Linked DNA regions of Rhinolophus ferrumequinum. The protein of the gene in region 2 purifies or fractionates together with the protein of the main gene of each other region. This does not show direct contact. Links are inferred from orthologs where the notes say so. Each region holds a gene or a part of one and is shown on either strand. Other genes may lie near its edges.

Region 1 (3,749 bases), on a different chromosome or scaffold from region 2:
CCCCTTTCTGAGCCTCCTTTCCCAATCAGCCCTGTCCTTGACCACAGGCACCTCAGACTCTCAGAGCCAGAAGGAATCATGTGCCCCATAGAAGAGGAAACAGAGGCCCTAGAGGTGTAGGACCCACCCATGTCCCCCCAAATCATAAAGGTAATGGAGAAAAAGAAGCAGGTGCATTCAAAACAGCCAGAAATATTTATGAAGTGTCCACTGCAACTGGGTGCCAAACACTGGAGGTGGGAATCACAGGCTGGGAGGCAGGTGACATTTAGCATGAAAACCACGGAACAAGATAATTTCAGATTTTATTGGCAGGTGTTCTTAAGAAAACGGTGAAGTGAAAGGCCTGAGGAGCGCGACTGGGAAGACCTCTCAGGGAAGTGACCTTTGGTCCCTAGTCCTCAGCTCGCTTTACAGAGGGACCTGTCTGATGAAAACAGGCATAGTCCTAGGACTCCCAATTGCACTCTCCCCATTGCAGGGACAAGAAGGCGGGTGGGTATTTTTATTCCTAGAAGGGGGATCTGGGACAGAAAGACATTCACCAACTTGCCCAAAGTCCTTGGCCGGGGCCCGACCCTGTGAGATGCGAGCCGGTAGGTACACCTCCTCCGGGGAAGGGGCGGGGCCGCCCTTCCCTAGCAGTGCGTCGAAACCTCTTGATCCACGCAGGGGGCGAAGCGCGCGGCAGGGGTCATCCCGGCCATCCCGGACAGTGCAACCAGGTCGCGATTGGCAACTCGCGCAGGGTGGGCAGGGCCTTCGAGGTGCGCGCGCCGTGGGGAGGCGTTGCCGAGGACCGAGCGGGAAGGGGCGTGGCCACGCGCGGACAGCCGTTGGCGGCGCGGCCCCCTCCACGAACGTCAAGCGTCGCGGGCTGGGTGGCGACGATTGGTCGGTGCGGTGCAGGGGGCGGGGCGGAAGGCTCTGGAGGGGGCTGGCGGGCTCTGGAAGCTTCCGCCGGACGGGTATATAGAGTCTGGGACGGGGCGGCGGCGGCGGCGGAGCTTGGGGACGGCTACAGCTGGGCGGCGGACCGCAGGCGTGGGCCATGGGCAAAGACTATTACCAGACGTTGGGCCTGTCCCGCGGCGCGTCAGACGAGGAGATCAAGCGGGCCTACCGCCGCCAGGCGCTGCGCTACCACCCAGACAAGAACAAGGAGCCCGGCGCCGAGGAGAAGTTCAAGGAGATCGCCGAGGCCTACGATGTGCTCAGCGACCCGCGCAAGCGCGAGATCTTTGACCGCTACGGGGAAGAAGGTGCGTGCGCGCGCGGCCGGGGGCGCGCCCCCGCCGTTTGACAGGTGGGGAAACAGAGGCACGGCGGCAAGGCTGCAGCATCCCGGGGGGGCGGGGGGTGGCTGCCCCAGGCGGCGAGCATCCCCCGCCCTCTGGCCATGGGCGCCTCCGTCCTCGGATTGGCAGCCGCCGGATGAGAGGTGGAGCTCTGGCCGTGCCGCTGGCGCAGAAGCTTCTAGCATGTCAGAGGCTGCCCCTCCCTGGATGCTTCCGCCCACGTCCCCGATCGCCCCCGGGTGCGGATGGAGAAGGGAACGGAGGCTTCTTCAGCTAGTGGCGCTGCGTACCCCTGGCCCCAGCTCACCTGGGAGAGGTGCGGGGCCCCGCCACGCAGGGGTGCAGGACGAGGCCTTTGGCTGATAGCCGGCCACCACCTGCGTCCAGTGAGACTGCAAAGGGGACCGCCAGTTGTCCCTTATCTCCCTCGTGGGCCCCTGGAGGGCAGAGTGAGCTAATTCCTGTAAAGTGCTTACCCAGCCCCGCGCCGGGGAAGCAAATGGCTGCCAGCGCCCACAGTGGCCGTCCAGGTGCAGGGAGTGGAGGGGACCCACTCTGCCCAGCCTCGTAGGGTAGCTCTCCTCAGGAAAGAAAAAAGGAGCTTTCCTTTTTGTCCAATTGCCCGTGGATGACTCACGCTGGCTTTTGGGCTTGGTGTTAACAAATGAAGTGACTTTTCACATAAGGATAATGGCAGCGGTGCCAGGGTGTGAGAATTAGAAAGCTGAAAGCTGGCCCTGGATGTGCGTTTTTCATCTGATCTCAGTGAATTCTTTGTTAAGTCTTTGTATTATTGTCGGGAGGGTAGGTCAGTGAAGAAGTGGCAGGATGTGGGTGGGCCCTAAAAAAAGTCATGTCAGAGCTTGAGCTCCCTCACCTCTGCTTTGCCATACTGAAGTACTTGGATAGGGAATCTGTCTCTGCTGCTACTGTGGGAGGTAAAAGCTCAGGTTCTTCCTTGTTCTTTACTGAGAGGCTAAAAAAATTTCTCTTCCAGTGACCCCCAAGCACTTTTCCCTTAAGGAAAGCTTTTGGCCAGTCCTCTGACTTCTTGGGATTTTGTCTTTCAGGCCTAAAGGGCGGTGGTCCCAGTGGTGGGAGCAGCGGTGGTGCTAATGGTACCTCTTTCAGCTACACATTCCATGGAGACCCTCATGCCATGTTTGCTGAGTTCTTCGGCCGAAATCCATTTGACAACTTTTTTGGGCAGCGGAACGGGGAGGAAGGCATGGACATTGATGACTCATTCTCTGGCTTCCCTATGGGCATGGGTGGCTTCCCCAACCTGAGCTTTGGACGGTCTCGCCCTGCCCAAGAGCACACCCGAAAAAAGCAAGACCCCCCTGTCACCCATGACCTTAGGGTTTCTCTCGAAGAGATCTATAGCGGCTGTACCAAGAAGATGAAGATCTCCCATAAACGTTTGAACCCCGATGGGAAGAGCATTCGCAATGAAGACAAAATCCTGACCATCGAAGTGAAACGGGGGTGGAAAGAAGGGACCAAAATCACCTTCCCCAAGGAGGGAGACCAGACTTCCAACAACATTCCAGCCGACATCGTCTTTGTTTTAAAGGACAAGCCACACAATATCTTTAAGAGAGATGGCTCTGATGTCATTTACCCAGCCAGGGTCACCCTGCGGGAGGTAAGGCACTAGGTGGGGCAGTGTCTGTGGAGGGAGATAGCAGATAGCGCTTTTTGCAGCAGTTTGGGGTTTTTTTTTCATATCTCTCTTAATTTTTTTTTTTTTTGGGTAACAGTGTTTTCTGCAGGACCCATGAGCTCCAAGCCAAGTTGTTGTCCTTTAGTCTAGTTGTGGAGGGCGCAGCTCAGCTCCAAGTCCAGTCGCAGTTTTCATTCTAGTTGGGGGTGGGGGGGGCACAGCACACGGCAGGGCCCTCCTTCAATTCCATGTGGGAATTGAACCGGCAACCTTGTTAAGAGCTTGCGCTCTAACAAACTGAGCCATCCGGTTGCCCAGCGGCAGTTCCTTGTCTTTAATGTAGTTGTGGAGGGCATAGCTCACTGGCCCATGTGGGAATTGAACCGGCAACCCTGTTGCTAAGAGCTCATGCTCTAACTGAGCCATCCAGCTGCCCCGGTATTTGTTTAACAGCTATTTCTGAGTGTTTGGTGCCTCCAGACTTGGGGGTGCGGCAGGAGCAAGGCTGGCCAGGACTCTGTTTTTCAGGAGCTTTCATGCTGATGACCTGGGTAGATCTGGAGGGCAGGGCCTAGCTACAGAGGTCTGATGGCTCTTACTCTACCCAGATAGTTTCTGGGCAGGAGTGGAGCTTCCTAAGGTAATCTCCATCTAACACTGTCACTTTGCTTTCGAAGGCTCTGTGTGGCTGTACTGTGAACGTCCCCACTCTGGAAGGCAAAACCATACCCGTCGTGTTCAAAGATGTCATCAGGCCAGGCATGCGGCGAAAAGTTCCTGGAGAA
Region 2 (3,749 bases):
CATGTACACCTGTTCAAACTCAATGACATAATGCATTTAGCATAATTCTGTTTTCAGTTTCATACAGAAAAAGTTTCTACCAAAATTGACAAAATTAGTACTGAAAAGGAACTATAAATGCAAGGTTCTAAGTATAAACTACAGTGGTACCTCAGTTTTCAAACGTAATCCACGAGTTCTGAAATGTTCGCAAACAGCCGACAGCTAGGCGCCTCAAGATCTTGCACTCAGCGGAAGCCGTGTGACATATTCGACTTCTGAGTTGTGATCGAAAATCGAAGCATTTACTTCCGGGTTTACAGCGTTCATAAACCAAACTGTTCGTCAACGGAGACGTTGGAAAATCGAGGTACCAATGTACTTAATACACTGCTTTATTAATCATCTTTAATATGAAATTAACAGTTTTCTAGTTTTTAACAATGTAGAGCTCTGTGACACTGTCCCTTACTCTAGTTTTCAATACTGTAGTTCTCTGTTACATTATCCACGTGGTTTCAAATAAACTTTAGTGGATGGGCATTCGCATTTTCTCTATTTTTACTTACTTTCTGAAACAGTTCCTTAGTTTTTCGGTTAATATTATTAATACTTACTTTTTTTTAATTAAAGTTTATTGGGGTGACAATTGTTAGTCAAGTTACATAGGTTTCAGGTGTACAATTCTGTAATACATCATCTATACATCCCATTGTGCATTCACCACCCAGAGTCAGTTCTCCTTCCATCACCATATATTTGATCCCTTTTACCCTCATCTACCACACCTTTCCTTCAATATTACTTAAAGAAAGCAAAGCTTACAAAAGTTTAAAATTACGAGAAAAGTCCTTAAAATGAACATATTAATCAGTCTTTCCTCCTCAGCTCAAGGGTTAAAAACGTTATATTTTAATGACCTGTACAGAGTCATCAGAATTTACTTTATATTAATCAACATTAAAATATAATAATACTCAAAACCAGAGGCTTTTAGAGATGAAAACTTGACTGCATTTGTACCTATCACACACAGAAATTATTCCAGTCTGAGGACAATGACTCAGCTTGAAGACGGAGGGGCAACACCCTCACTGCTTTAAAGAAAAATACTTTCTGATTAGGGGAGAGAGAGACACCTGATATGGTTGAGAACATGCCCTCAAAGTTCTAAAGACCTGGGGACATGCGTGTGTTGCTTGTTATGCTTTTATATAAAAATAAACATTCTTCAGAAGGACAATACATAGCTGAGGGCACTGATCTCTAGTTTTGCTCCACTTTCTCTGGGGGGGGGGGTGGGAGTTGATGTAAAAATATTAATGTTAAAAGTAATGGGGAAACATTACTTTTGTCTCATTCCATTTGTCTCTTTGAGCAGAATCCAGAATGTGGTTTTGGCTCATGTTTGTCTAACAGCTGCCATCCATGAAATCATTGTGGGTGGAGTTTCTCATATTCTCACTCCTTTCTTGTGGTAGTAATAATAATAAGTGCCTCATTTGCTAAGATATACTGTGGTTGTTAATACACTTCCTTGGAAAATAGACACCTCTTCTTGCTTTGGTATATTAATCGATGGAGATACAGACAGTGCAATGCTTCTTAAAATTTCTGGCTCACATACTCCTATACTCACCCAGAACCTGGAGAAAATTATGAAAGAAAATTCTGTGTAGTTTCTGGGAGTTGTGGGTGCGTTCATAAGATTTTCATTTAACTACATCTGCACACAATTTACACAGTAACTTTAGTGACACAAAAGTTTATAGGAAGTACATAAAAGTTTTTCATACACTGTTAAAGGAAAAAAAGTACTTCCAAAATTTAACATAAATTATTTAGAAATTCTATACAAGCCTACCACAATGTTAATCATTTACTAAAATCTTAATCAGTTAAGAGGGAATAACTGTGACTATCTTATGCTTTCAGGCCAATGTCTAGCACTTTCAAGATGTCAGCACAGTGTCTACTATGGAAGGAGACTAAAGTTAGTGCTGAATACAGTATGTGGGGTTATGGGGAAAAGGGAAGCTGCGGTGTCTTTATTCCACAAAGTACATAGCTATCCTTCACCCAGCAGCCCATTTGTCCTTCTTCTCTCTAATCCCTACTATCAGATGGATTCCTGCATTTTTACACTTTTTTTTTTTGCTCTGAAGTGTTCTGGAGCAAAGAACTGATCAGTCACATAGGGGACCGCTAAACTACTGCTTCTCTTAAAAATGCATAATAGGAAAGTAAGTTAAAAACATTTGGGAAGACCGTATACCGGCACACAGAAGGTTCTAGAAGTTCTGTAGACTCGGAGTGTCACTGTCCCTAATCTCAAATGACGTCACTGAACTTTTATCTTTCCTTATTTTTCTCCGCTCCCAAACGTTCAGGTCTGTCAAGGAACATGTGGCCGCCAATAACGCGCTCACAGATTTTGCTTAAGTCGAATGCGTTTCCTCTCAAGCGAGGAAAGGAAAATCCACCATGAAAACAAAACTGCACCATCTCCATAGAAAACAAGTCCCAAGCAAGCAGCTCCCCTTGCTGCAGCCTGCCCGGGGGCTGTGCCCGGGCCGCCCCGCCGCGCACGGCCCCGGCCAGCGAACCCGCCGCCGCCTCACCTGAGCTCCAGCTGGTCCAGGCTCTCCAGCAGGCGGCTCGAGCGGTCGGCCATGGAGGAGGAGCGGCAGAAGCGCCCCTCGTTGGCTTTCGCGTTGATCTTCGCTTGAGCCATCTGAGCCTCTGAGGCGGGGCGGTCGAGAGGTCACCGGCCTCTCCGGTGGCTGGGAGTGGAGAGCTCCCGCGGCCGCAGGCGTCGCCGTCACCGCGCGGGGCGCCCGCCTCCCTCTGACGCCCGCGGGGGGCGGCCCGACAGGACGCCAATACCGCCGCTGCCGCGTGGCCAAACAAGGACAGGCGCGCCGCGCGCCCGCGGGGCTCGGGGGCTGCAGAGCCCGCTAGGGGCAGCTGCCGCGGCTGCGGGAGGGCACTAGCTGTCACCGGGGCTCGAGGATGGGCCCTTAGGGTTAGGGGGCCTGAGGAGCAAAACCAGGCGGCCTCTGAGATACCTGGAAGGACGAACGCACCAGGCGGAGGCCCTACCGTGATCCGCGCGGGTCCTTCTCTGCGGACCCTGGAACCCAAACCGATGCGGAGAAGCACAAAACGCCCCGCCCCCATCCCCGCCACCCCTACCTCCGTGAGGCGTCGATTCTCTGTGCAGCCCCCGCCAAACCACCTCCCTACACGCTGAGGGACCTAACGGTAAGCTGTGGATGTGTTACTCGGTGATGGCTTCGCTTAATTTCTCCCAGCCCCCGTAATTCACAGCAAACACCAAAAACGTTAAGTCCATGGATATGTGGAGAAAAGGTCCCTTTGTGAAAAGCCATTTAGTACAGTTCCTCGTCAGTCCATACTTGCTTGACCTGCCCTGTTACCACTTTCCAGAAATGAGAATGATAGCCTGATAACACCACTTAAGGTATAAGGGAAAAAAGAAAAAGTGACCCCATCTTTCTCTTTCCAGCTGGATGTAGGAAGCAAGGGAATTTATAATAATACTTCATTTCTACCCATTCTAACAAAGGAATTTTTAATGAGTTTTTTTCCTATTAAAAATGATTTCGGTTGGAATTTGGGTGAAATAATTGGTATGAAGGCCATTTCACACCCAATTTATGTAAATCTGTCAAGAATGAAAAGATGCAATAGATCACTAGGTCAGATATAAAGGTCAGTAAAAGTGGGGTAGAGCTGGGAGTACAAAG

Evidence for each region. The genes of interacting proteins can lie anywhere in the genome.
Region 1: the proteins of BAG2 (region 2) and DNAJB1 purify together in Homo sapiens (affinity purification with mass spectrometry; 4 studies listed by BioGRID and IntAct, with this or other methods). This does not show direct contact. The link is inferred for Rhinolophus ferrumequinum from reciprocal best matches to the Homo sapiens genes BAG2 and DNAJB1.

What each region holds. Positions count from the first base shown.
Region 1 is NC_046301.1:47,640,494-47,644,242, forward strand, and holds the start of DNAJB1 (dnaJ homolog subfamily B member 1), read left to right. Parts: upstream 1-940; 5' UTR 941-1,051; coding exon 1,052-1,262; exon of another isoform or gene 1,263-1,306; intron 1,307-2,368; coding exon 2,369-2,946; intron 2,947-3,641; coding exon 3,642-3,749. UniProt on the Homo sapiens protein: Interacts with HSP70 and can stimulate its ATPase activity. Stimulates the association between HSC70 and HIP. Negatively regulates heat shock-induced HSF1 transcriptional activity during the attenuation and recovery phase period of the heat shock response.
Region 2 is NC_046286.1:24,058,613-24,062,361, reverse strand, and holds the start of BAG2 (BAG family molecular chaperone regulator 2), read right to left. Parts: upstream 2,870-3,749; 5' UTR 2,714-2,869; coding exon 2,601-2,713; intron 607-2,600; exon of another isoform or gene 1-606. UniProt on the Homo sapiens protein: Co-chaperone for HSP70 and HSC70 chaperone proteins. Acts as a nucleotide-exchange factor (NEF) promoting the release of ADP from the HSP70 and HSC70 proteins thereby triggering client/substrate protein release.